Linked DNA regions of Alligator mississippiensis. The main gene of each other region encodes a partner of the protein of the gene in region 2 in a complex. Links are inferred from orthologs where the notes say so. Each region holds a gene or a part of one and is shown on either strand. Other genes may lie near its edges.

Evidence for each region.
Region 1: CUL3 (region 2) and KBTBD4 share a complex: the UniProt entries of both Homo sapiens proteins name them as parts of the BCR(KBTBD4) E3 ubiquitin ligase complex. The link is inferred for Alligator mississippiensis from reciprocal best matches to the Homo sapiens genes CUL3 and KBTBD4.
Region 3: the proteins of CUL3 (region 2) and KLHL3 are in contact, whole or in part, in a crystal structure (PDB 4HXI), measured with the Homo sapiens proteins. The link is inferred for Alligator mississippiensis from reciprocal best matches to the Homo sapiens genes CUL3 and KLHL3. Residues at the interface, in NP_003581.1 of Homo sapiens: Ile44, Asn49, Ser50, Gly51, Leu52, Ser53, Phe54, Glu55, Leu57, Tyr58, Arg59, Tyr62, Thr63, Leu66, Lys68, Met118, Asp121, Ile122, Met124, Tyr125, Arg128, Val129, Gln133; in NP_059111.2 of Homo sapiens: Pro73, Tyr74, Ala77, Met78, Asp82, Met83, Ser84, Glu85, Glu92, Ile93, Lys94, Asp95, Pro125, Ser128, Leu129, Gln131, Met133, Arg136, Asp160, Val161, His162, Thr163, Thr165.
Region 4: CUL3 (region 2) and KLHL21 share a complex: the UniProt entries of both Homo sapiens proteins name them as parts of the BCR(KLHL21) E3 ubiquitin ligase complex. The link is inferred for Alligator mississippiensis from reciprocal best matches to the Homo sapiens genes CUL3 and KLHL21.

The regions. Positions count from the first base shown.
Region 1 is NC_081825.1:228,510,929-228,517,750, forward strand, and holds the start of KBTBD4 (kelch repeat and BTB domain-containing protein 4), read right to left. Parts: upstream 3,001-6,822; 5' UTR 2,820-3,000; coding exon 2,798-2,819; intron 1-2,797. Other genes in the region: NDUFS3 (NADH dehydrogenase [ubiquinone] iron-sulfur protein 3, mitochondrial), read left to right, coding at 3,289-3,334, 6,741-6,806. UniProt on the Homo sapiens protein: Substrate-specific adapter of a BCR (BTB-CUL3-RBX1) E3 ubiquitin ligase complex which targets CoREST corepressor complex components RCOR1, KDM1A/LSD1 and HDAC2 for proteasomal degradation.
Region 2 is NC_081830.1:51,714,479-51,721,461, forward strand, and holds the start of CUL3 (cullin-3), read right to left. Parts: upstream 3,001-6,983; 5' UTR 2,745-3,000; coding exon 2,679-2,744; intron 1-2,678. UniProt on the Homo sapiens protein: Core component of multiple cullin-RING-based BCR (BTB-CUL3-RBX1) E3 ubiquitin-protein ligase complexes which mediate the ubiquitination and subsequent proteasomal degradation of target proteins.
Region 3 is NC_081832.1:72,935,442-72,942,703, forward strand, and holds the start of KLHL3 (kelch-like protein 3), read right to left. Parts: upstream 3,016-7,262; 5' UTR 2,906-3,015; coding exon 2,892-2,905; intron 1-2,891. UniProt on the Homo sapiens protein: Substrate-specific adapter of a BCR (BTB-CUL3-RBX1) E3 ubiquitin ligase complex that acts as a regulator of ion transport in the distal nephron.
Region 4 is NC_081836.1:18,625,863-18,633,230, forward strand, and holds the start of KLHL21 (kelch-like protein 21), read right to left. Parts: upstream 3,003-7,368; 5' UTR 2,757-3,002; intron 1-2,756. Other genes in the region: PHF13 (PHD finger protein 13), read left to right, coding at 3,159-3,197, 4,456-4,557, 5,305-5,857, 6,408-6,634. UniProt on the Homo sapiens protein: Substrate-specific adapter of a BCR (BTB-CUL3-RBX1) E3 ubiquitin-protein ligase complex required for efficient chromosome alignment and cytokinesis.

The DNA.
Region 1 (6,822 bases), on a different chromosome or scaffold from region 2:
CCCAGTGGGGAGGTTGGGTTGGGGCAGTGCTCGGGGCAGGCAGCAGTGGCGCTGGGAGGGGGGCTATGGCGAATGCTGGGGTGGCTGTAGCCCACCCCACACCCCCCCCATGCCGCCACTGCCTGCCCCAAGCACGGCCCTGGCCCAGCCCCCACACCAGGGAGAGCCTGGCATGCCCCCAGCCCCAGCCCGTAGCGGCAACCCACCCTCGCCCCACACACAGAACTGGGAGCCACATGCCCCCCATGGCTCCCCCAGGGATGTGTGTAGTGGTGGGATCCCCCCCACCCCCAGATAAGCCACACAACTCTGTCCTGCACCCCTCCCTGGCTAGACAGCACCTGCCCCTGCCTCATCCCCACTACCTCACTCACTGCAGGGGCTTCAATCTGCCCCCCCTCCACCCCTTCCCTCCCCAACAGACATACCAGCTGGATGCTATTCGCCAAGCTGCCAGGCTGCATGCTGGCAATTCGTTCAGTATTGGCTGATATTGGCCATTGGTATCAGCCCAAAAAACCTTTATCGGTGCACCCCTAGAATAGGCCTAAAAGAATCGGGACCTGCTGCTCCATGTGATCAGGGGCAACAGAATACGACAGAGGAAACACTGAGATGGCAGTTACAAGCTGAGGTTCAATGAGCCCTGCTGACCCAGCAGCAGATGTTAATAGAGTGCTTTACCACCCAGGACCAAGGACAGCAGGACCCAGAGGATACATCCTGGAGAGAACTAGGGGGCTTCATCCTAGAAAAGATGACCCAGAATAATGACCTTAAGGCTTTTCTTAGAGGCACCTGAGCATGCAACAGTGGCAGCCCAGTGGAGCATGGATACACAGGCATCCTGGTTGGGAACCTTCAATCGGAGAAGCTCAAGACACATACAGAGTAATGATATACACAGATGTTCAGGATTATGAAAAGGTTAGAGTCCATATTGCAGCAGTTGGGAATCTTCAAGGAGAGCCAGCAGCACTGCTTCTGATTTAAGACAAACCAGGCACCACTATGACACGCAGGTGGAAGTCATTCCTAGAGAACAGCAATGAGCTTGAGGAGGGCCTCAGGCCACACCCTGTTATAGAAACCAACAAATTAAAGATACTATGAAAGGTCTATAGGTAGTACAGAAGAAACAAAGCTGAGATGTGATATATTGGCAAGGGGCAGAGGCTACAGTTAATAGCATCATACGGAGCCAACATGCAGAGGGAGCTTATTTCTACTGATAAAAGGGTGAAAAAAATCCTACAAAACTTTATCAAAGTCCTAAAATCACTCAGATGAGAAACTTGCCAAAGGTATAAGAATGGGATGCAGTTTGTGTAGAGTCAAATATGAAGCACATTCTGAAGAGCCCATGCCCAACCTAGATGGATTAGATAATGAAGCATATTCAAAGAACTACTCATAACAACTAAGAAGGTGCAATTATCTGTGCGCTCCCCCACTGACAGGGAGAAGTGACATGACAGAGTAGTCTCTCTCTGACAGAACAAAGATTACACGTGGAATCCCAGCAGTTGGCAAAACAGCTCCTCTAAAGAGGAGCTGTTGTTAAGAAGGGCAAAAGCTACTTGCTCTTCCTTCATATACTTCCTGCTAAGCTGTTGGATAATTCTAGTGTCAGCACCCCAGAAGTTTCCTTTCAACAGAGTAGGGCATGGTCTCATTTTTAAAAAGTGTGTTTAAACTTGCTCTAAACTCTTCCATACTACAGCAGACTAGATTTCCAGCCCTACCTGTGACAGTCAGTATCATTAAGACTAAATTACTCCAAATCCAACACTATTTAATGACTTCAGTGGGACCAAGATTTCACCCAAGGAGTTGGTAAACACTGTGCAGTCTCCTCTAGTTGAAGGCTCACATTCAATTGCTCAGCTCAGTCCAGAGGGTTAGAAGTATTCTTGGGTTCTTTGCTAAAACTAAATTCACAAGCAACACTTACTATCATCTAGGCTTGGAAAAACAACTCCATCCCATCACTGATGACCTGGCCTCGGTCATATGCCTTTGTGACTTCCTGGTTGAACTGCAGCAGTGTCACACATCTGGCCCTGAAGCCATCTCATATGAAATTTCAATAAGCAAAGAACACACCAGCACTCTCCTCCTCTGCAGGGAAGCTACTGCAAGCACAACTGTGTCCTCTACACTAGCCTAGCAATTCAAGTTCAAGGTCTTGGTACCTTATCTTCAGTAAATTCAGCAGCCTGAGCTTAACATACCTGACAAGATCCCCTAAAGCTCTGGAATGCGAATGAATCAATACCTTTTGGCTAACATAAAATGCTCTACAATAGAAGTCGCATTCACTGGGGCAGGAGGCAGTTCTCTCAAAGGCTGGTACCCAACTCTAGAACAAACTCCACCAGGAATTAAGAGCAACAAACCTCTTGCCTTCATCTTAAAGCATGAGATTCCCCCTTGTTAATCTTACCTTCTCCAAAACAAAAAGTAAAGAGCTGGATGTGACGGGGATACCAGGAGTACAGGCATCGCGCACACAATTCCCCCCTAGCAAAGGGCAGGTTGGAAAGAGCCAGCGGGGAGGGAGGGATGCCAACCGTATCACGTGATGCATGACTTCATGGTGGCCAGGCGCTGCGGGGGCCAGGCCCCTTAGCAGAAGCCCCCGGGCAGAACAACTCCGGGCAGCCCTTGTATCGGCCCTTTGAATAGAAACGACTCGGCTGGGGGGGGGGGAGGGGGGGTGGCGAGGGAACAGCAGCGTCCGACTCCTGCAGACCCGACGCCGGGGGCACCTGCGACTCCTCCCTGCCGCTCCTACCTCTTCCTCCCGGCCCAGGCATCAGCTGCAGCCTCCTCCGGGCCGCGGCGGGAGCTCCGCGCCTCTACAGGCTCGGTAACAGCCGCCCTCTGAGGCGTCTCGGAGCCTCCCGGGCGGGCCCGTCCGGGCACTCGCCTCTGACGGCCCCGGCCCCACGCCCAGTCGCTGCCCGCTGAGGGGCCGAGGAGACAAAAGGGCGGACCCGGCGGTGGGCCCCGGGTTCCTACCTGCAGCCCCTCCCTTCATGCCGCCGCCCGGGCCCGGGGGAACCCCACAGCGCTGCAGCAGCCGCCGCCCCCGCCAGGCACCTCACGGCTGCGATCCGCGCCCACCACTTCCGGCCCCGCCACCGGAAGCCGCCGGGGGAAGCCAAAACGCGTCGGACCCCACACTTCCGATCCGCCGCGCGGGGAAACGCGCGGCACAGCTTCCGCTTCCGGTCCGTGCCCTTGTGTGCCTGTGCCTGCGGTGCGGTGCGGGGCCGGGCCGGGATGTTGGCGGCGGCGGCGCGGGGCCTGGCCCGGGCTGGGCTCCGAGGTGAGGCGGGGCCCAGGGCAGAGCCCCCGGGGGAGGAGGGCGGAGTGGGGCAGTCCACGGGAGGAGGCAGGCCCGGGGTGAGGGCGTAGTGGGGCAGTCGCCCTTCCCCTCCTCTCCGTTTTATTCCTGTCAGACCTCCCGGCTGGGACGCGCCGCAGCCTCGCTGGCTCAGGGTCATTCCCCGACTCCTGCTCCTCTGCGCAAGTGTATCCGCCCCTCTCTTTTTGGTGGCGGTGCGCCCCTGGCCCCGCTCACACTGCCCTTTCTTTGGCTTCTCGTGGGCCCCTCCTGGCAGCGCTTCTCTTTTCTGTCGCGGCCGAGCACAAGCTGTCAGCGCAAACTCGGATGTTAAACTGACTGGCCAGGGAGTCCCGGGGTTGCTGCCCGGATGCTTGTGGTGTGAGCTGATAAAAAACTAGGATTCCGGAATAGCCTAGGGAGTGGATGAATGATAAAAAGGCTTTATTTACTACAAGTATTCAAAGTCAAATGAACCCAAACCCAAACAAAGGCCAGTAATTAGCTATAAGGTGATGATTTCTCACCAAATAGATGACGAGAGATGGTCTGTTTCTTCTGGCTTCTCGAGATAGCTGGGGTGCAGCTGCGGTTCTTGTTAGAGAGATCTTTCATTCCTGAAGTGCCTGCCATTAGCTGTTTTCACTTTGTTGTTATACTCTTAGTCCAGCATCTTCAAAGCATTCTTTTGGTTGTGTAAATCAAGAGAGTCCCAAGCAGTAATTGACAGGAAAATCCTGTTGATCAAACTGCTTGTTATTGGTTATCAGAAAGTTCCAGTTTGAATGAATGACCTTTCTCAGTGATGAGAGATCAATTTCTACTAAGTTTGGAACATATCAAGAAACTGATTAACTCCCAGGAAAAACACAAGGTTTTTGGGAGCGTCTTTGGAAAATTAAGGGAACCACTAGACAAAACAGAAATAAATCAAAAGACATCTATCATATATGGAGAATGACTCCTGTACAAAACATGAGTTAATTGCAAGAGAAATATTTACCAATCAAGGATAGACCTTTCACATGGTTACATGCCAGACAACTAGGAGTCTGCTTGTAATCACCATGAATATAGTAAGGTAAGCTGGAAAGGATACCTCATTATTGCTTCCCAGATGGCATTGCCATGAACTCGCGTCCTCTTGCACTATGCAGTTAGCATCAGTATTTTGTATTTTAACTTTGTGTGTAGGCCCCACTTTAGCATGAGTTTCAGAGTTATCAGTGGAGGCCAGATTTGGTTTCACAGATCTGAACAAGAGACACGATGGAGGGACTGGACGTGTTCAGATCAGCAGATTCTGATAATCTCCACCTCAGAGTGCTGAGGGAACTTGCAGAGGTCATTGCGGGACCCCTGGCACAGCTTTACGAGCACTTACGGTGCTCTGGTGAGGTGTCAGAGGACTGGAAAAAGGCCAATGTGGTCCTCCTTTTCAAAAAAGGGAGGAAAGAGGACCCAGGAAACTATAGGCCTGTTAGTCTTGGAGAAGCTCTTTGAGAAAATTATCCAGGAGCACATCTGCAAGGGACCAGCAAGAGCGATTATGCTTAGCAGCAATCAACGTGGGTTCATTAGAGGCAGGTCCTGCCACACCAACCTGGTGGCCTTCTACAACCAGGTCACAAAAGCAGGTGTCATGGTGAACGTAGTCTTTCTGGACTTTAGGAAGGCCTTTGACACTGTCTCTTACACCAGCCTCATTTAAAAAATTAGGCGACTGTGGTGTTGATGCCTACACAGTCAGATGGGTCGCAAATTGGCTGGAGAGCCACACCCAGAGAGTGGTGTTGGATGGGTCATTTTTGACCTGTAGAGATATGGGCAGTGGGGTTCCCCAGGGCTTGGTCCTCGGGCCTGCGCTATTGAATATCTTCATCGGCAACTTGGACGAGGGGGGTGAAAAGCACCTTGTTCAAGTTCGCAGATGACACCCAGATGTGGGGAGAAGTGAGTACGTTAGAAGAGGGGGACAGGCTACAACTAGATTTGGACATGTTACAGAGGTGGGCGGATGAGAATAGGATGGGTTTCGATATGGACAAGTACAAAGTGTTGCACCTGGGGAGGAAGAACCAGCAGTATACCTACAGGCTGGGGAACTCTCTTGTCGTCAGCATGGAGGCAGAAAAGGATCTTGGAGTCATTATTGATTCCAAGATGAACATGGGCTGCCAATGTGGGGATGCAGTCAGGAAGGCTAACCACACCTTGTCATGCATCCACAGATGCATCACGAGCAGGTCCAAGCAGGTGATCCTCCCCCTCTATGCGACATTGGTCAGGCCACAGTTGGAGTACTGCGTCCAGTTCTGGGCGCTGCACTTCAGGAGGGATTTGGATAGCGTAGAGAGGGTCCAGAGGAGGACTACTTGCATGATCAGGGGCAGCAGGGTAGGCCCTATGAGGAGAAACTACAGGACCTGAACCTGTTCAGACTACACAAAAGAAGCCTGAGGGGGGATCTGGTGGCCACCTGCAAACTTGCCAAGGGGGACCAGCAGGCAATGGGAGAGTCCCTGTTCCCCCAAGCACTACTGGGAGCTGTAAGGAATACCGGCCATAAGCTGGCTGAGAGTAGGTTCAGGCTAGACATCAGGAGGCACTATTTCACAGTCAGGGTGGCTAGGAGCTGGAACCAACTTCCTAGAGAAGTGGTGCTTGCCCCCACCCTGGGGATCTTCAGAAGGAGGCTAGACAATCACCTAGTCAGGGTCATTTGACCCCAGCATTCTTTCCTGCCCATGGCAGGGGGTCAGACTTGATGACCTGCTTGGGTCCCTTCTGACCCTACCAACTATGAAACTATGATGCCAGCCAGGCTAACAGTTGGGGTCTTCTCATGATTTTTTGCCTCCTGTGTTGTTTTTTTTTGTTTTTTTTTTTAATGTTTGATCCATCATCTAGCAACTCAGTACATTCTCAGCTACGCTGGTTTTTGCTTTGATCTTAAACACAACAATATGATACTAGCCCCCTTCACATATTAGGAAAGCACCATGTCTGTCTGTCAAGTTTGTCAACCTGTAAAAGTTTCTCTTTAACTGGAGAGAAGTATGTGTTTGGGCTATATGTGATGATGCACTGCACCACCTTGCACCCTGCCCCACCCTTTTCAAAATCCTGTATTCACCCATGGTGACTTGTACCTGTCTGCAGAGCACACTGGGGCTTTCTCTTGGGTTCATGAAGTTGATTCTGTTGATATTGAGGGGGGCTCCCAGATGTCATTCCTGTGTGCTGGGTAGGGGAAGGGGATTCACCTCTCCAAGAGGAGGCAACAGAAGGGAGACAGACTCCTTGCTGAAGAGAAGGGACTTGAACCTTGTTTTTTTTGCAGGAGAGTGGTTATGGGTGATTTTACACAAGCTCTTTCTCTTTATAGCTGCTACATGCCCTGCAGTGCGGCAGCAAGCACGTTGCTTGGAGAGCTCCACAACAGAGACCCATCGTAAGTCTGTCTGAAT
Region 2 (6,983 bases):
CATGTATACTATAGAAAAAAAATACTGAATAAGTTATAGGGCCAGGACTAGCACTAGACCAGTGCTTCCCAAACTTTTCCTCAGTGTGACCCCATTTCCTCAGCATGCCCCCTCACTCCTAGCCTCCAGGCCTCCACAACCCCAGGTGCCCCTCACTCCCCAACCCCCACAGTGCCCCAGGGCCAGGACCCACAGCTCCCTGCCCCCCCAACCCCCAGCAGCCACCCACAGGAGGCGACAGCAGGTGTGGCCAGAGAGAAGTACGAGCCCAGCTGCACCCGCCCCCGCCCCCGCCCCCCCCCCCCCCCCTCCAGGCAGCACTACCCTGTGGAGAGGAGCCGGGGGGTGGGCAGGGATGTGGGCTGCCCATTGTAGGCAGGCTTGGGGCTCCCTGCCCTCTCCCCCCAGGGACCCCGTGGTCCAGTAGGCAGGACAAGGTATGAGAGGGAGTGCTGCACTGCCACAGCTGCCCAGGTGAGGCACCCCTGGCTTATCTGCCAGCAGTGAGGGCAAAACTCCATGCCACTGCAGCTGCTGTGTCTCACCTTGGCGGATATGGTGATGCAGCACTCCCAAAATGGGTCCCGTCCACTGGGCCGCAGAGGAAGCTCCTGCCCACAGCTGGTCCGGCTTGGCTGCACCCCGCATCCCACTGGGCTCAGAAATCTCAGGAGGCACGTTTATTGCCATCCCATCCACTGATGATGTTGCCACCCACGTTCAGGGTTTCAACCTACAGTTTGGGAACTGCTGCACTAGACAGTAACCACACTACTGGTAGTTACCTTTATAAAATTATGTAATAGTAAGCAGGCAGTCTTTCCATTTGAGAAACTTAAATCAAAAAAGCAGGAAAGGAATAAAAAGGAAATGGGAGATGTAATAAAGACACCTAAATGGCAAGCAGAGCACCAACACTGGACATCACAAACAGAGATGCCTCAGAATAAGAGGTGGTAAAAACAGTGAAGATTGGTAGCTTAAGGTAAATGAAGTAAATTCTAAATACAGATACCAATCTTGAAAATACAAATAGTTTTACTTACATGAATAGTCAACTGGATTACTCACATAAGTAAAGTTACACACACACAAATCTTTGCACAAAGTAGTAACTTTAACATTACACAGGTAAGGATAGAAAACCCTCAACAGCAACTATTTGGGTACATATTCTTTTTTTCACTTTCAAGCCCCTTTATCTGATCCAGTTTGGTTTTGGAAATCAAAATCAGTTCTAAATAGTGAGCCTTGAAAAAAGTTCTGTCAAAAGATGTCAGCTTCTACTTTGGAAATGTGCAGGTCCCAATATCTATGTATACTTAATAGAGTTTTTCTTTGGTGGAAGTTAATTTTTGTGAAGAATCTTAATGGAGTCATTCTTCAAATAACTGCAGAGAAGAGAAATTATAACAATGTTCTAACAAGAACCATTCTGAAGGGGAAAATGATGACAATGCTCAATTTTTTGCGAGAACTGATCTGTGTGTGAACATTCTTCACCCACAAGCGCAGCTTTACATGCTCAGTAACAAGAACCGTCAGCTAATGTAAAAAATAGTCTTAGCTTAGTATCATGTCCCGTCCCTATTAGTTTACAATTAGTTACAAGCATTCTGAGATTTTAATAGCTGAACAGAGCAGATTGTTAGGAAACTTGTGTAGTACATTGTCTTTGGCATAGTCTGCTGCAATCTAAGTGTCACATTTTTGCCACTTCTAATTTTTTTTATGATGTATCCCTATGAATTGTTTACAACGGCCATGGCCGCTTGGAATTGCTTTTTTTCACTACAAAACAAGAAATCTGAACAGCATGACTTATTAAGCAAATAATTTCTTTGGTGACCACCAGCCATTCTTCAGCAGAGATACCCAACTTTCTCAGATGCAGTGGTCCCCTTTGACATTTATAGTTGATATAATTATCAATAATTAGAAAGCGAGTCTAAAATAGAGAAGCTAGAGCTGAATCAGACTCCTCAGCAGAACTTCATCAGCCTGCCAATGTAAACAACTCTTTTATTTAATCAGCAAGCCTTAGGGGCGAGTAAATGTTCCTCAGCATGAGACTTGCTGCTGCAGTGAGGTCAACCAGGGAGCTCCAACTTCTGTGTGCAGGCAACACCTAGGGGCCCTTTGCCACTCACCATCTAGGCTAGGGTCACAACCCCTCCCCTAAAGCTTGAAATTCAAGTCAATGGAGTCTCCTCTTTAATGTGTAGGTGCGTGCAGGTACGCACAGGTATACGTACACACAGGCACACGCACAGACGCAGACCCACGGGCACACAGGCACAGGCACATCCGCACAGAGAGGCCTGCGGGCAGGCTGCAGCGCAGCAGCCCCACTCGCTTTAGTGGGCACAACTGTCAGAGCGGCGGAGGGGAGGGCCCAGGCCGGGCGCGGGCCCAGGCCGGGGAGGCCGGTACTGGCACCCACCTCTAGGCCCGGGCAGTCGCGGCCCCTCACCTCCCCCCGGGCAGCCTGGCGGCGGTGCCCCCACACCCGCGGAAAGGGCCGGGCCGGGCCGCGGCGCGAGGGGGGGCCGGTGCCGGCCTCCGGCGGCCGCTCGAGCGCCGTGACAGGTCGCGCCGGGCTCGTAACAGCCGGACCCCGCGGAGGCCGCCGCTCCCCCGACCGGGCCGGGCCGGGCCGGGCCGAGCCGGGCACTCACGGGGAAGGCGCGGATCCGCATCTTGGTGTCCTTCCGGCTGCCCGTCCCCTTGCTCAGGTTCGACATCTTCGGGCGCGGAGCCGCCTGTGGGCGCGGGCGGGTGGGCCCGGGCCGGGCTCCGGCGACCTTCGCTCCGGACTGCGGGCCCTGGCGGAGCGGGGCGGGTGGCGGCGGCGGCGCAGGCCCCTTCCTCCAGCGGCAGCGGCGGCGGCGGCCCCCTCAGCCTCCTCCTCCTCCTCCTCCTCGGCCGCGATGGCGGACAAACATCGCGCAGTGCGCAGGGCCGAGCGCCCCCGCCCGCCAGGCGCGCTCAGATCCGGCCGCGGCGGCGGCAGCAGGCGGAGCGCGGCCGGGGGGAGGGGGCGGGGCCTCCCGCTCTCGCGAGACTTCCGCGGGACTGTCGCGGCCCTCAACTAGGCCCGCGACCCCGGCCGGGGGGTGTCTGGTCTGGCCCGGCCGCTGCGTCGTCAAATCTGGTACTATCGGACCGTGCGGTTTTCACTGTCAATAAAGCCCCAGGTCCGGGAGTCAAGGGAGTGCACCAGCTCCCGGGGTTTCATTGCAAAGAAAAGCAGGAGTCCTAGAAAGTTCAGTTTGTTGGGAGCTGTTTTTTGCGGCGCTGGGAGTTTGTCATGGCCGGGCCTTCCCGGGCAGCAACAGCAGTGGGAAGTCTGCAGAGTGGGGAGGAAGCTAAGGCAGACGTAGTCTTAAACACAGGGTCAAACCCAGTGAAAGGCGAATCAGGCAAAAGCCAATTATAGCTCTATGGAAGATGGGGAAAATAACTGGACAGACATATAGGACCTTTCCTGTTTTTTGCAGGCTAAATTTAGTTCCTCAGAAGTCAGTTATGCCCTGCTAAGGGTGCACATGCACATACCACTGCTGCGGTACCCAAGCAAGCTCAAAATGCACTGGATCTGGTATCGGAAGCACTAAAACCAAATGAGCGCTGTGCTCCACCCAAACTAAATAGGCTTGTGTTGTGCTGCGTAGGAATAGCCTGAGTCATGACACCGATGGGTGTTGTACTCTTTGGGAGACTCATCGAGTTATGTCGCAATATATTTGTTTTCCTTTCTCTTGCTGTTTTCTTTGCTCGTCACAAGAAACGCCTGAGAAATGAGGGCACCACTTGAGGCAACACCTGTGAGTGCATGAGGCTAAATATAGGTCCCTTGAGAATGGGGCAGTTGCTATAATCAGAGAATCATAGAGAAAAGGTGGGAAGGGACCTCCAGCCATCTTCTTGTCCAACCCCCTGCCAGAAGTAGGATCATCTCTATCTAAACCATCCTACTGTCTACCCTTTTAGCAAAACTACAGTCAACCTTGATGCAACCACAAAACATAACACCTGAACCTGCCATCTTTAAACAAGGTGACCACGGCCATCGCTGTCCTTGTTGGAAAAGTTGTTAAAAAAGCTGAAGAGATCCAAGGAAGAGGACCACACCCCCAGCTACAGAGGAAGAAAAAAACCCTCACAGTCCATGTCAATCTGACTTGTGGGTAAAATTTCCCTATGCCAAATTTCAGTCTGACCCTGAGCAGAGGGGCAAGACCCTCTAGCCGGAACCCCCTGTGTGTAAGGCCCATTAGGAGCCTTGGCACACACAAAATGGGGAAGGACAGCTTGTATATATCAGATTTTGTACATTTGGGGAGATAGGGTTGGCCTCATATTTGTGTTTGTCACTCTAAAAACTAGCAGGTGCTTGAAGTTTGGGCCTAAGTGGCTCACTCAGGATCCCACACAAGTGGTATATAGCACAGCTAGGAATAAGAGGCCTACCTAGTGACTTCCAAACTCAATTCTGCCTACTGCAGCATTCTTTCTCCTATGATCTCCAACCATTTTCCTAGTACTGCCCACACAGTGCAATATGTATACTAAGAGCACAGTAATATATGTGTTCATCCTATAACTTTTCTTTACCAAGTAACTTGCTCTTTTGTCTCTTTCAGTTCCAAACCACTACAGTTCCTTGGGATTATGCATGTTCCTATATTTTAAACCTCCTGTTCAGAATTACTTATATACCTAAAGAAGACATTATATAACAACAGCACAACAAGATTAAGACAACAGTCTTAATGATTTCAGCACGACCAGGCAAAACCATCCAGCCGTTCTCAGAATACATAGGAAACAGTCACAAGGTATGACAAGGCAAATGGTAGGAGGGGCAAAGTTTTCCTACTGACTGCCTACATGAAAATAAAAGATCCACATACATTTTGAATTTCCATCTCATTTTGGAGCTTAATAAACAAATGCCACCAAATTAAGGCTCAACAAGGAGTCTTTTGTCTAAAAGGAATACAAAAAGTTTAGAGGGAGATCTTTGCCTTAAACTGCAGGTTGGAGGCGGTTGCTTCTACTAAGAGAAGGCGAGGAACCTTTGAGGCCTGAACTGTAAGGGCACAGTTATTTTCTTTTATTTCCTTTGTTGAATACAGTGAGTGGGCAGAGCAGCCCAAACTTTTATTATAAAATGATTCCAAATAAAGGACTCTGTCTTCTTGAACCTTGAAAGAGGTATGGCTGGAGCTTGCAGTAAATGAACTGGCAAAAGGCACAACCAGCTCACATAGATACAAGAATTTTCTAAGATTTTTCTCATCCCAAACAGAGAGAAAAAGGTCAATCTCACATTTTCATGAATTTTAATAATAATTCAAAGTTGTTTTGATCCATAAGTCAGAGACCTAGTTCACTGAAAAGTTTCATTTCAGTTTTGTTTTGACCTTTTCATAATTTTTATAGTTTTAAAATAAAATAAACTTTGGACTAACCTTATATAATAGTGTGTGTGTGTGTGTGTGTGTGTGTGTGTGTGTGTGTGTGTGTATAAAAAAAATATAAAAAATACTAATATGTAATAGTATATATATGTGTGTGTGTGTGTGTGTGTGTGTGTATAATACTATACAATAATACATATACATACATAATACAGTATACTAATACTATACAATATACTAAGAGCCAGGCGAAGAGCATCAGAAGCTCTAAAAGCTTGGCTCCAGTACAACACATTATTTGCATTTTTAATTAACAATTTCAATGAAATCTCCAAAAACAGTATCTTCTTTTTTTCAAGTTAATTTTTCTATTTGATGACTCAGTACTGCATGGTTGAAGCTAATGGGAAGTATAATTTGAAGGGAGAGGTGGAGGGAGGGGGAAATCAGGCTTTCGGTATCATACCAAAGAGTTCTTAGGTATTAAAGAAACCAGATGCACATTTCTTCCCCCCTCCCCACCAGTTTTGCAACATGTAACATACTGAATTCATTTGTAATAGAACCTTTGCTTGCAGAATTCACAGTTTTTGAATGGCAATAAACTATTGCTCCTAAGAATCATAAAAATTACCTTCTCTATGCTATGTTTCTCCTTACTTTATATGAAAATCAGACACATTTCAATATTTTGTTCCAGAGTAAGAAGGAAAAAATAATATGAAGTGTCTATGAGAGCAAGAAAGAATGACTAACCCCTGCAAACACCCAAATGCTTAAGTTAAGCTGTGGTTAAGAGTTTCAGGAAGTAGGCCCCATTTTATAACTTTCTGCATCTGAAAAAAAATGAACAAAATAGCTGCTTCCTGCATGGTGGGTGAAAAGGAGAGAGGTTCCTTTCCCGTTAAAGTAACATATAAAGATAGAAAAAGCATTTCTTTTTTAACTATATATCTATTTGAATAAGATGCTTTTTTTTAGGTTTTGCATTAATTCCATGTGGTGCATTAAGATTAACACAATAGTGATCGTAGAAACAAATAAATTGTTTTCTCAATCATGACTTTTAAAGTCTATGAAAAGAACCATGTTGATAACAGCACAAAATAAAGCATAACTGAAAAAAATCTAAAGGGGATACAGCAAAATAAGTGTATGCTATATATGTACTGAAGTCAGCTAAACAGAAGTAGACTGGTTTTCAATGTATAATAATTTGGGACCCAATACTGGAGTCCTGATTCAAGCAGATTTGCTCTCAGTGTCACATCTGGAAGAATATGATATGGCCCAATGGAGCAAATGGCACTTTTAAACACTTAAGTCTCCTTGATTGCAAAAGGAGTTCTGGATACGGTGGGCAAGCAAGGTCCAAAAAAAGTAGAATCTTAGGATCATCTGAAAGTAGGACAAGAAGTGCATGGACGTTTGATTCCCTGGGGACAACTAGCGAGGGCACACCTTGTGCCACTAGTTGTTCCTGGGGAATGCCCATGCCACGTGCACTTTGGCATGTGGCAAGTTACCTGGGGTGCTGGTGGCCTCCCAGGGCTGTAG
Region 3 (7,262 bases), on a different chromosome or scaffold from region 2:
GTGCATTTCATTTTCTCAAAGAGCATCTGTATTTTTTTAAAACCAATTACCGCTGTGTAGTTTTGCCAAAAACACCCCACAGATCTTTTGCCAAAACCAGGTCAGATCAACGCTGAGCAGAAAACTGCAATTCTGACGTAAGCTAGGTAGGTTGCAAGGTGCGAGCCACTCAGACCAAAGCCCCAAATCTGCATACGTTTATGTACATGCACAACTTGTACCCGTGCAACTGGCCCTGCTGAACAGCTTACATGTGTAACACACGAGTACTGGCAGGTCTCGAGCTTGGGTCTGAAGCGATCTGAGGTCTCGCCCTCTTAGTTGATTTAAAAATAGGTTAGTTAACAAAGGGAAAGAGGGATCCATTTAAACTCCAGAGGCAACCCCCTACCCCCATCACACACATCCTAACAGAGGTCATATCTGAGACCTTAATTATTTATTTGGGTTTTTAAAGTCTTCCAGCCAAACCTCTGAGCACATGCATGAGAGTAACAGCAGAACCGCCACCAAAAAAAATACAACCTATCACCAACCTGATACATTCACCGTCCGACACGCTGAGATCAAGTACCTGACGGCATCATTTCAAGACCTATTCATTGCGTTTCTCAGCGCACACTATGCAGCTTTTGTGGCGTTTCTGTGACGTGCTCTGGTAGAATGGGGAAGCCTGTGAATAACTCAACTGTCTCCTCCGAGAGGGCAAAACTCCAAGTTACTGGTTCAGATCATTAAAGAGCCTCGTCTCCCAGCCCTAAACGTCAGCCATAGTTTGTTAGTTTGGGTAATTATATTCCGCTGACCTAAATCCCCCTGCAGTTTCAATTAGATGCTTCACTTTCAGAGGCTAAGCAGACATACAGCTTGTGACACCTCTTCGTTCCCTGAGGCCAGTCTAAAATGACGCTGAGAAAAATCGGAAGGGTCACTCTAAAGACAGCTGTGTTCCTACCGTGTCCTGGACAACCAGGCCCCAAACTGAACAGAGATTTTTGAACACTACCGTAACAGAAGTGATTAACGGTGATGATGACAACAATCCCTTGCCCGTAAGGTCAAATGCTGGGATAAAGAAGCACAAGGCTCCAGCTTCCTCTCCTGTCAACTCTCTCCACCACTAGATTCATGGCAAGAACTGGAAGGAAATGACATGAATCTAGAAAAGAACGAGTATACGATTCGAAGATGCTAACGGTGAAACATCCGCAGCTGGCCATTTAAACACCGACTGGAAACACTACATCTAGGATGCATTAAACAGCAGGACATCCAGGCTGAAAGTTGCATTTTGAGCAGTAAGTAAGTACACAAACAGCAGTTGCGATCCTTGAGTCACCTGAGGGTAGAAGCTCGCCTTTCGGTATTTGGGCAAAAAAGTGGCTACAGGGAGAGTAACTGGTCCAGAAAGTACAGCAGGGTTTGACCCCCCCAGTTCACTTCAGATACAGGGCACTGGAGAAGCAAAGTTTTCTCCAACCTGCAAAGGTTGGCAGCTTCCTTCAGCAAAGGCTTCCCTGCCCCCAGATGCAGGAGGTCACAGGCACAGCTCAAAAAGGAAGCACTCGGCATATCCTGTTTTCAGAAATGACTAGCTTCACGCTTGGTTTTGAGCGGGAAGGTGTTAAGACTCTGGCGTAAGAAAGTCACAGGGACAGCCGAGGAAAAAGGCTGGGTAGAGCACAGTAAATATTTAAGATTCCTCTGGTATCTATGAAGTTCCCAAGCAGCAATAACAAGGCTCGGTACTTGTGCTAGGTTCAAGGCGCTGTTCTAGCCACCGTACAGAAAACAAGGAGTTAAGGGCCGATTTACCGTATAAAAATCAAGCCCGTAGCTACTGGGGTCTCCCCCGCCTGTCATAAAGCACGGGTCACTGGTTTTTGCTTACAGAGGACGTGTAAATAGGCTGGCAGGCGCTTTGCAAACTTGGTCTACTTTTGTTCATTAACTACAAATAGCACTAACGAGCGGACGGTGGGGCCAGAACTGAACTCCACCAGCAGAAACACAAGCGGGGGAGGAAAAAACAAAGAAAGCAGAGCGCAGGATTGTTTCGCGGCGCGGATCTGGTGGCATGAAGTTCGCGGCTCTGCCGCAGCAGGTCAAGCCACGTGGCCTGCCAGCCCCCCTCGGGCTCCTCGTCACCTTGCCCGGGCTAATAAATGCATCCTAAGGGCTCGTACAGCAACCCTGTTCCATGCCCTGCAAAAACTAAATGGGTTATTGCAGCTCACGGCAGATGGAGGAGCTCCTCGCCGAGGATGCTGCACAGGCTCAGAAGGATGCAGAAAATAACGTACATCTGGGTGAAGGGGGTGGCAAGAAGCCCCTGTCCACACTGAACCCCCCCCCCCAGCTTCAGAGCCAACCGTGGCCCCCGAGGGACAGCAAGAGTCACCGGGATCAACTTGTGCCTGCTGCGCCCGGTGCCCGGGTGGCATCTCGCTGGCTAGCAGGCGGCCGCGGAGCAGCGCGCGGGAGGGGAAGCCGCGCTCCATCTCCCCTGAAACTGCTGGGCTCCTTTGGGTTTTAATTTAAAAAAAAAAAACCCCGTTTGTGGCTCATGTCCCCGGCTGCAGCTCACGTCTCCTTGCACACGCACGCTGCAAGGATCTGAAAGTGGGGGGAAGGGGCTAAATCTCCCCGTCCCCACACCGCTGAGACACGCACACACCCCCACGGAGACGCCACAGACACACATTCCCACAGACCCACACACACCTCCCCCACACACACCACACACAGCCACCGCCTACACCCCCACACACACCCCAGCAGCTGATCTGGGATCAGCTGCCCAGGGAGGGGGGGGTGAGGGGGCAGTCCCCGTGACCCGCGCGCACACACGCACACGCACACACACACACACCTCCCCCGCCGTCACGCACCTCTCCTGGTCCATGTCGGCGCGGGGCCGGGCGCTCAGGGCGCGCCGAGCAGCATGGCCGGGCCGGCCCCTGCAGCAGCAGCACGGCGGCGGCGGCGGTGGCAGCGGCGCTAGTAGCGGCGGCGGCGGCTCCTTACCCAGCGCTCCCTGCAGCCCCGCCCACCCCCCCCCACCGCGCCCGGTCTCCCGGCAACGCCGCCGAGCACCCCTCCCCCCGGCGGCGGCGGCGAGGCGGGCTGCGGGCCCGGGCCGCCGGAGGAAGGGGCAGCGGGCCCCCGCGGCCTGCAGCCTCGGCCGCAAGATGCCCGCCGGGGCTGGGGGAGCGTCTCGGGCCCAGCCTCGAAGGACTGAGCTGAACTGATTTGGCCCAAAACACGAATTAAAAACCAACACAAACCCGCCTGCATCGCCCCCGGGCTGCTCGGACCGTGCCGCCGGCCGGCCCCTCGCCCGCGGCCGCCTGGCGCGTCCCCGCCTGCCGCGACAGCAGCCCCAGACCCCGGCAACATGGATACACGGGTCAAGGGTGGGTTTGGCCTCGCCGTAGAGACGCGGGGATGCAGGCAGGATTTCACGTGGGAAGCCGAAGAAGCGCGAGGCTCCCCACATGTCCCCTTGGGAAGGGGACTCTGCTCCTGCTCGGTATTTCCAAGTGCCGTCGGGTCCCATCGCGTGGAGCCCCTGGCGCAGAGACCACCGGGGCGCTTTGCTGGGACCGGGGGCACCACCTCGGCCCCAGAGTCGGGTCAGGAACACGGGAGCAGGCCCAGGATCGTGCAGCTCCACCGCGTACAAGGCAAGCACGGGGGTCGCGGGGCTGCACCACGCGCCCCGGCACGAGCGCCGCTCCTCCACGCACGCTCGCGTCGCAGACAGAAGGCAAAGCGTGAAGCGCAACCAACTCCGAGACGTACGAGCTTATTATGCGCGTCCCTGAAATAGTGTGCAACGTGCAACTCTGCCCTGCCTTCGGCCGGACTTCAGGCTAACGTGGTTTACTACCTCCCCGCGCACTTTTCAGAGGGCAGCGTTCAGCTTTCCAAAGGTCCGTCTTCATGAAAACACCCCCAGACACTGCAGTGACAGGCAGCGATTGAGATCATTTGGAGAATGCTTCCCCCAATGCTTTTTGGCTGTTGCTTCTTTGTCAAATAGGTTGACAGTGCCAAGGTATTTCAACACCGGAAGTCAAGGCCAAAACTTTACCTGTAGCTTAGCTAAATGTTACTCTAGTAGAGCACTGGAGACGCTAGCAGTTTATTATAGAGTGAGTGTGTATATGCTGTATGTCCACTAATTTTGGCTGTTAATCATTTCCTAACAAGAGACCAATAGTGTACATTTCATCCATTCAGAGTTACGTACGATATGCATATCCTGCCAGGCCAACTTATCTATTATTTGATCAAAGTTTCTTCTAGACTCCAGATGGTAGCAGTCACAGTTTGAGCCCTCCAGCACTGGTTTTTACAACACCTCCCATTTTTATTCCAGCTAGTGTAACTGCTGGAGTGATTCTTATAATCATCTATGAATTTTCCAAAGCTATTATTTCCCCCATCATGTTCTGTAGCAACAAGTTCCAAAGGTTAATTGTACAGAGCACAGAGGGGAATTTGCTTTCTTGTTTGCTTTTCCATTCATTCAGCGCTCTTGTAGTGTGGGAAGAGATGTGCAGAACTGTCCAAAAGCCTTTGCCAAGCCATGTAATACTCCATCTCCTTTGTACAATTATATAACCCTAGCCTTTTAAACTTCCACCTTAATAGGAGGCATTCTATTGGGTACCTTCAGTCATTTTTAACTAAGTTCAATTGCTTTTAAATTTTATCCATGATAATAATTTAATAAATTGTCCTTCTACAGTGCCTTTTACCCAAGAACCTGTGCAAATATAACAGAGGTAAAACTAGATTTTATCATCCCTACTCTAAACTTAGGCATAGGGAAATGAAGTCAGCCAATGTCACATAGTATATGAAGGAAGGCTGGGAATAGCACCCAAGGCTCCTGCCATCTAGTCCCACAGTTTAAACAATTTTGCCTGTTTCCTTATAGACAAACACAACCAGAATTTCATACAGGATTCTGCAGACCCCCGAGGAGAAAGTTGCCCAGATGTTCCCTTTGGAAGGGATCAGTGGGAAGATTTTAACTCAGATCCTACTAGTGCCCATTTAGTCATATGCTCCCAGAACACAGCCCAAAGCTAGTAAGGGCATAAAAGCAAACAGCAAAAGTAACAACACTAAAAGCGGTAGTGAAATGAGAGCCCTTGTCCTTCTCTTTGAATGCAAAATGGCAAAGCTCCTCACTGATGACAGAAGGAGCACAGGTAGGTTCTGTGCCAAGCCCCTGAGCAGCATAGAGGTATTACACAAGTGACTACTAACTCACAAGGTACTCGCCTCTCAGTTTAAAGGCCACTGACAGAAGACCTCACCTCATGCACCCTAGTCTAGTGCCAATGACAAGACTAGAGCACTCGATGGGTAGCAAGTGCTGGGCTAGAACAAAGATACAGTCAAGGAAGCAGTGATTGTCTTTATAGCAGCCTTGTAAAACAGTCGTGCCTGGCACAAACTTTGCCTGCTACTTCCTACAAGATTGAGGGGCATGAAAATGAAGATATTTTACTCGCTATCCAGAAATCACTCATGCTTCGTGATGGGAATTTTCTCATGACTGTTCCAAGTAATTAGCAAGTCAAAGAGTTTGGAGGTTTCCTGAAGCATGCGTGTAAAGTTGGCACGTTCTGACTCAACATGTAGCACCGATTCCAAGCCTGCATCTTCAAGTCTTGGCTGCTCGTCAGGGTATTTTTATTTAGAAAAGTCTCTCTAACTTCTGGCATCTGTGATCCCTACCAGTAAAGAATCAAATCGGTGAAAGTCTGATGGGTCTCACTTAGATTGTAAACTTTAGGGCAGGGAGCATCAGCTCAAAAGCAACTATTGAAACCAGCCAGTTGATACTGGGGAGCCCAGCAGGGGATCTCTTCGACTTAATCTTCAGAAGTCTTCAGCCCCAGCAGCTCCACTGCACTTCAAGTGGAATCAAAAGTGATCAGTACTAAGTGTGAATGGGTCTGTTTGAATGCCCAAAGCTTCAAGCATCAAAGATCAGAGACATTTGAGGTGGAAAAAAACCAGAACAAAACCTAAATCTTATGTTTTTACTCCCTTTGTAACATGCTTATCACTTCTTTTGAGTACCCAAAGATATAATTTGTACTACTGTACAAATTTGCTGTAATTTAGAGCAGTCAGCCTATCTTTTGTCTTTTTCCCAGGATAAACCAAGGTAAAATGTTCAGCAAAACAACTCCTACTAGGATTAGGATATCCTTGTAAGGCCCCAAATTAGCAGGACACCCTTTGTGAGAATCCAGTAGGGATTCACAATAAGGCTGTTTGCAGATCTGGGGATCCATGTGTTTTTGGCAGCTTAAATGTCAAAGATAAACGCACTGGATTCATTACTGCACCCTTAAGGTTTTGACTCAGTTTAATGATAAGAATGTAGGCCTCATTTACTTATCTCCAAATGTCCTGTACTCTTTCTACACAGGCAGCATGGAAAGATCCTGCGTAACCCTAGACTCAGCTGCAGCAGAAAAGAAAAAAAAATGATGGTAGATGAATTTCTTTTTTAAGCTGCGAATGTTGCCCTCTAGCGGCAGATGTACAGTTATGTTAATCTTGCTTTACCACTAGCCTGCATATTACCTTGACAAAAATGCAACTTTTCTGGATTCTAGTACGCAGTATCAACCCTTTGCTCTATGTTTAAATGGTTTGCGTCATGCTGATACTCCTCCCCACCCCCCAAACTCTTCAAATTTAGAACATTATGAAGACAAGGAATGGCCACAATTGGAACCTGGCTATGAATTTTAGAATGCAAAAAAGTTACTGCTCTGCTCGCACAAGGTAACAACGAACAGCTAAGCTGCAAAACCATTACTACACCTTGATTTAAAAAAAAATAAATAAAAGCAAGTGTCCTCACCCACAGCCAAACACGGCACAGATGCAAACTGCCTTCCCTAAATCCATATTGCAACTATACCGGGGTCATCTGAAAAGGAGCGTCGCAGGAACATGTTACACTAGAGAGTAAACAAAGTAAAAATTAGCAGCAGTGGGAACACAAAATATGGGTGGAGGGGAAGGGGTAGATAAGGTGTGTGAATAAATACCTAAACAGGGTGAAATGCTTCAGGAAAAGGCGATGGAGGTCCATGTTCCTGTAAATGGACCAAAGGAAAGTGAAACAAACCAAATAATAAATCAACACTATGCTGATGCTACTAAAAGTGTTCTCTGTAGAAAAGATTGCCCTAATGGTTATATATTTGCCCCAAACTGGA
Region 4 (7,368 bases), on a different chromosome or scaffold from region 2:
TTCTGAAAAAGCCCAAAGTACTTAAAAAACACACCAGTGAGTGCAAGCCTCTCACAACATTACCCAAAAGAGATATACTATCAATTACTCTCAAAGAACCTGCACTCTTTCTTCTAAGAGCAGCAACATGGCTGAACAACCTCATTTGGAAAAAGAGCAATGTCAAAGAGGAAAGGCTATTTATTGTTCAGTAGCGTTCCTGTAACCATATAACACCCCGTATTGAGTAACTTCATTTTCCCATGAACGTGGAACTGATTTATGCCTTCCTATGCTCATTCTTATTTCACTTTATCACCTTAAGAAAATACACAGATCAAAGGAAGATACCATCTGAACCACCATGATCTAGCAACAAGTAGATCCTAGGTCCAGAGCTGTCTATAACTGCACACACATGATCAGTAAATGATGCAGACACACAGAGTGCTAAAGCACTTGTGGGGTCTGCTGGAACACAGGAGTTTTGCTATGTCTGCACTTTGCCCAAATCCAGTTCCACAAGAACTGTTGCCTTCCTCCCATCCCATAATGGGCAGAGGGAAATTCAGTATCCACAGCTGAAATGATCATTCACCTTTCTGCAGATAATGCCAACATAGGAACAAGGAAATGATGCTTAGTTTTTATCCTGTCATCATTGGACACAATTACTGAAAATGAGCTCCTTTTTTGCCAGCCAGCACGGAGATACTAAATGTGAACTGCTCAATTAATTTTTTTTTAACAAAGAGTACATATGAGGTTTCTGTTTAGAATTCTGTCTGTTCTAAATCCAGCTCCAGATACAACTGTAAGAAAAGCTGTCAGCAACAATGAACCTGAGCTCAGGGGTTGGCATCCCTTGGCATGCATGCCAGAATGTGGCATGTGAAGGCATTATGTTTGGTATGCGTGCCTCTGGGCCCATGGAGCCCCAGCCTGGCTCACTGCAGGCGGTGAGTGTATGCATGCCTTTGGGGGATGGGGATGGAGGTGGGGGGTGGGGAAGGGGCCAGGGCTGCATTGCCACAATAAGAATCGGACACCTTACAACTCCCCCCCCCCTCCCCCCCGGTGTGCATAAACCTGGTACTGGCAACAAGCTGGGTTGGGGATGCAGTTGCTTGCAACCTCCTGCCTGCTATGGGGCTGCTCACACCAGGCAGCAGGGAGGCTGCCAGCAGCTGCACAGGGGTCCATAGAGTCTCACAGAGCCCCAGCCTGGCTCATTGCCCATGGCAGGTGCATGTGCATCTCAGGGGTGGCGGCAGGGAAGGGGCCAAGGCTGTACTGCCACAACAAGAATCAGACCTCTCACAGCTCTACCGCTGTCCACCCCTGGCACTCCAACTTCTTACAAGTCAAGGTTGCAGTGTTTTTGGCACTCTGCCCAAAAAGGTCGCCAATCCCTGCCTTAGCTGGGCCTTGCACATAATATTGGATTTAAGACGGTTATAGCACATAATTGACCAAAAGCAGTCAAACAGAATCTCTCATTCTCTGCCCACTATGGCTTGGTGCAGTACTTACAGGGCTACAGCCTGGGCATGTATCTGTAAAAAACAAGAAGCAAAATCCTGCATTTCTTTAAAAAGGGGGGGGCTTTGTCATTCCTCAGAAGGAATAAGCTTCCTTTTACATAAATACTTCCATATTTTACTTCCAAATTAAGATGTTCTTTGAAAGTACCCTGATACAGTAGTGCATTCTTTACCAATGTCTGTACACTGATTATTGTTCAAGACTCAGGATGCACACACTGCCTCCGTTCGTTCTTTGACAAATTCAAATGTTACTTACTAGAGTCTTGGCACACAATACCCATATCAGGTAAGGCAAATAAATACACAAATATACAGAAAACACAGTTACAAGGCAATACCATTCCTTGCCAGTGCTAATACATCTATTAACCACAGCACTCCCAGCTTTAAATGAGTGATGACATATTACTTCTATAACACAATATGTGGCAAGAAAGCTACACTGGCCCAGAAATGCAAGCTACAATCATGTAAGCTGAGAGCTCAGAATTCATGTAATTTGAATGATGCATGCCATGTGATTCAGTCAGTGCCTTCCCATCATCAAACATAATTTCAGCACTACACTAATGTGATTCATCTCCTATGCAAAATAAAACTGCATGTAAACGTTTTGAGGGATGCTGCCAAAGTTGCAGAAACTAAACTTAGATCTATTGACTGTGAGCTGAAATCAAGCACATGTTTCTGACACATGCCTCTTCTCTACCCTCTCCTTTTTCTGAATAGGCAATGGCTTCAGGTACACCTTTCTCCGCACGTGGAGCAGCTCTGCCACTTCAAGGCACAGAGGATATGACTACCGAGAAAGGGTGAAGAAGATGAAGCCAGACCGTTTGGAAAACAGCTTCCCAATCCGCGGGTTCCTCGTCAGCCCCGCTGCCCCATCTTACACCTCTTCGTTCTTTATTAGGACAGTCATCCCGGGCGGGGCAGGCAAGCGCGATGCTCGCGGGCCGCGCAGCCCGGGACAGTGGGTGCCATGGCCCCGCCCGCGCACGGCTCAGGGCTGTGCCGTGCTCCAGGCCCCAGCTCGGCTTCGTGGCCCGCGGCCGGGCTCGCTGCCGGGGCTCGGTCGCGTGACGCGCTGGACAAGGGCCGCGGGCCCGGGCGCACCGAGGAGCCTGCGTGGGGATGGGGCGGCCCCGGCCTCCCCGTGAAACCCGCAGACCAGCCCCTGCCCCTCTGCAAGGAGCGCGAGCCGCGCCCAGGAGGCCGCTCCGAGCCCACCTCACCGCTCGCCGCCGCCTCGCACCCCTCGGCCGGCCGCTCTGTGGCGCGCGGGCCCCGCCGGGAGCCGTCGTTCTCCACGGACTGCGCCTCCCGGCAGCCGCCGCGCGCAAGGACCACAGCTCCCGGCAGCCGCCGCGCGCCCGCCGAGCTCCGCGGGGCCGCTCGCGGCTGGACTACAGCTCCCGGCAGCCCCCGCGCGCCCGCACGGCACCGCCCCGCCCCTCTGCTCGCCGCTCCTCCCGCCGGTACCGTGCGGTTCCAGGGTGGCGGCTCTGCCGGGCGGCGCTGGACCCGGCTCGTTGGCGGCACCCCGCGCCAGGCCCCGGAGCCAGACCCAGACCCGGACCCGCCCTGCCCTGCCCCTGCCCCTGCCCCGCTGGCGGGCGGCTGCGCCGGGACATGGACTCCGACTCCTGCGCCTCCCCCTTCGCCCCCGAGGTAAGCCGGGCCCCCGCTGCCCGCCCCGCTGCCCGCGCCGCCCCGCCGGGCCAGGTCCGGGACCCCGCTCCACACCCCGGCCCGTGCCCCCGCCGCCTGGCGGAGCGGGCCACGCCGCCGCCCCGGCGGGGCCCCGCGGAGACCCGGGTGCGGACGCTGAGAGCCCGAGCCCTTCTTCTCCTTCCCCGGCCGCCGCCCTTCCCCGAGCCCCGGCCCGGCCGCGGCCCCCGGAGAGCCCCGCCCCCCGGATCCGGGCCCGCACCGAGGCTCCACCCCCGCGCGGGTCCCCGGGGGGCTCCGCGCCCCGCACGGCCCCGGCTCCGATGCGGACTGCAGCGCCCGGCTCCGGCCTCCCCTCGGCCCCGCACCCCGGCGCGCCCCTGTCCCGGGGCGCCCCACCCCGCCCCGGATCGGGCCCTCCTCCATCACGGACCGGCGGGGCGGAGCCTGTGGCCGCCTCCAGCGGCGCTCGCGACACGGGCATGGCTTCCCGGGGCTCCGTGCGCAGGGCTGGGGCGGGGGCAGCGGCGGGTGGTGCCCGGAGCCTGCCTTGGCGCTTGGCAGTTTAGTTTTGAACGTGGATGGCGATGGGGTGCGCCCACATCCCCCGCTCCGCTGCATGTCGCGGGTAGGGGCAGGCATTGTACCGCCTGGGTGCTAGATGGTGCGCCGGGGTCTCGAGACCGGGTGTCCGTGCAAGCCCCGAAGAAGCTCCTTGTGTCCTAGCAGAGGCTGCATGTGCAGTTATGGTGCCGTTTCCAGCAGCTTTGAGGTCTGGGTAGGAGACATGATGGAGACTTTGCACTAGGAAGAGAACAGCAATCCCCGAGTTGAACTCCTTGGTTGCATTAGGAGAGACGGGCTCCACACTAGCTGACCAGCTACATTTTGCTAACTGTTTAGCTTCTTCACTGTCTTCAGTACCAGTTTTTAGGAAAGTGATGCCATACAGTACTAGACCCTGAAGGTGTTAGAAGCCACCCTGGGGACAGATGTGGAAACAGCTGGAAGAAGAGCTAGAAACACCCAAGAATTTGATAGTGGCCGAGAGACCAGATAAATGTGCTAAATTACAGGATGGCTTCATAGTGCCTTGCATTTTGGCTCATGAAAGATGCACTTACACAAGAGCAATGGTAGAATAAGAGCTATTACTATTATTACTTTCTCAGAGATGGACAATTAGTTGCACAAAGTTGTTCCCACTGCCCTTCCCCAAAATCTCAAGTTAATGTCCTGGTCACTATTTTTTTAACAGGATTTTTCCCCAGGCTCCAAGAGACACAGAACCGTGGAAGATTTTAACAAGTTTTGCACATTTGTCTTGGCGTATGCTGGTTACATCCCCTACCCCCAAGAGGTAATGTGTAGCCCCTTATTTTATCACAGGTACATGCCAATGTAGCTATTACTGGTGGGAGGCTAAAGGTTTTCCTGCATGTGTTGGAAAAGGTCTTCCTGGCAGCAGCTCAGAAAACTAAGATAATGTGATGATCTATGCAACATAAATACCTAAACGCTAATTTTTGTGTTTAAAGGGGTTGGGTTCTGTGGAAGCTTTTACTGGGTCAAATGTAACGCACTGAAATGTGATAGTCCAAAAGAAACTGCCAGCAAATAGCCTTACGTTTAGAAAGTTTTAAAGGTACAACAGTTGGTCTTTTATGATATGTATGTGTTTCTCTTTAATCAAAAGTGAAATGTCTCAAACCTTGTTTGGCTTGAAGAGGCTGAACAAAGTGTAAAAATCCAGTCTTGAATTATTTGGGTGGTGGGCACTCTTTGTACAATGCCACAAGGTTACATTTAAGGTATTTGAAGTATGTAGTGTCTGTGCCCCTTCCCAGACCTCTGGGGCCATAGAGTTCAGAGCTTACTCATTTTGAGGTTGTTTGGCTTCTCCTGGGCTGCAGTTCCTGGCAGAGGCCTAGGTTTCAAAGCATATGGAAGGGAGTGGGAATTTTAACTCTTCGAAGTTGCCACACAGCACTTGACTGAAGTCCCATAAACACTAGGCTGTACTAGAATAAAAAATGGTAAACACTATAGGGTGGATAGGTATCAGCTCTAAAACAATGCTTACTTTTCTTCTCTTAATATTTTATAGGAGACACCCTTGAGGAGCAGCCCCAGTCCTCCTAATAGCACTGGTGGGACCATTGACAGTGATAGCTGGGATGCCCGATTCAATGACCTCCCTTCTGCTGTCTCCCTGCCAGTCAAGAATAGAAAAAACTTTAGTCAGCTCAAGAGAACAAAACCATATGCTTCCCTGTTCCAGCGAGCAAAGCCTAGCAGTTTCCTGCCAGAACGAAAGCAAATTGATAAAATCAGGAAGAAGAAAAAACTGAAGAGAAGGGAAACAGAAGTGCCTGTGGAGAAAGAATATGAGGAGAAGCTCCTGGACCTCGAGGTGGAGGACTCTTATGTAGAAACCCCCATGAGCCCTTCATCTGAGGGTGACCCTCAGTCCGTGACCGACCACTGTTCGGTGTGGGACTCTGATAGTCCTTCGAATGTCTCTTACGCTGCTGCTAACTCTGAGCAGGCTGTGGAGATACACAGTGTGGGCAAGCGAACAGTCATCCGGCAGGGCAAGCAGGTTGTGTTCCGGGATGAAGATGGCACTGGAGATGATGAGGACATCATGGTGGATTCAGGTATGTGGTTGGGGGGGCGGGATAGTGGGAGATGTTCTGTGAGACAGTGGGTCAGACTGTTAGTGATCCCATGCACAGTCTTTTTGTAGAATCTGGAATAATGCAGACTTATCTTTTGGGAGAGGGGGCTGAGAGCTAAATTCATTAGCATTTGCACAAGCCTCTTAGCTCTTTCAAAAGAAGGTGGGCAGAGAAGAGTTTTACTGCTCAGTGACCAGTGGCCTGAATTACAGTGTCCAGGCTCAGGCTAGAGCCCTTTCCATGGGATGAATTTTCATGTAAAGCTGGACACGGGTCAGAAGCTGGTTTTGGAGCCGAGCACTTCTCCTGGGGCAGCAGTCCTCTTGCACTGCTGAGATTCTGTACAAGAGCAAAGTGCAGGTGGCAATGCAGACTGCAGCTTCCAGCATGCCCTGGAGAGGCCTGCATACAATATCAGCCTTCAAAACCTCAAGATCTAGTTATGTCCAAGAGGGAAGAGTTGAGATACAGGTGAGATGCAGTAGCGACATGGAGGCAGGTAGTTTTACCTTGCTCTTTGTCTTTCCAGATGACGATTCCTGGGACCTAGTCACCTGCTTCTGCATGAAGCCTTTTGCTGGTCGGCCAATGATTGAGTGCAATGAATGTCACACCTGGATCCACCTCTCCTGCGCCAAGATCCGCAAATCAAATGTCCCGGAAGTCTATGTTTGCCAGAAGTGTCGGGACTCCAAGTTTGATATTCGCCGTTCAAACCGCTCCCGGATGGGCTCACGCAGGCGCTTTCTGGACTAGCCAAGGGAGCTGCCTGACCAGCATGCCACTTGAGCAGATTAACCATGCAAAGCACAGAACTCCAGCCAACTAGGTCTAGGAGAGCTCCTTTGAACTGCATTTGCTCAGGCAAAAGGGGGCTGCCTGCCTGTCCATGTTAACAGGCACAAGGTGTCAGAAAGTCTCTGACAGCCAAGGCTGGAAGAGGCCTGCTGGTCAAAACTGCTGCTAGACACTGGCTAGCTGTAGCAGACAGATGAAGCACCCCAGGTACAGAGGGGTTTTTGAACAGTTAAGACTACAAAGGGGATGATGTCTGGGAATGTGTAATACTTTTGCCACATGTTAATTCTCATCCCACTGGGAAAGTGCTAAGAAACTGCAAGACTTTTATGTGTTAAGTCAATCACCTCCCAAGAGGGAGGAGGAAGAAAAGCTCTGTATGACAAGTCTGAAAAGCTACTGGCCATATGTTTTAATTTTAATGTAATACTAGACCCCCCCCCCACCACCCATTTGTCCATATATAACAATCTTAAGTATTCCTAAGGCCCATGACAGTGAGTGTGAATGCTCACTGAACTCGCGTGTGATCTGCCTCTGCTTTGACAGGGCTGAGCAGCAGGCGCAGCATTCGTTGAGTTCTGTGGTTTTTAGCATTTGCTTCCAGTAAAAAACAATGATTTCCTGTTGCTCCATGTACTGATATGTTTGAGGGGAGAATAAAGCCTCTCCTCTCTTCAGGTAGGCAGTGG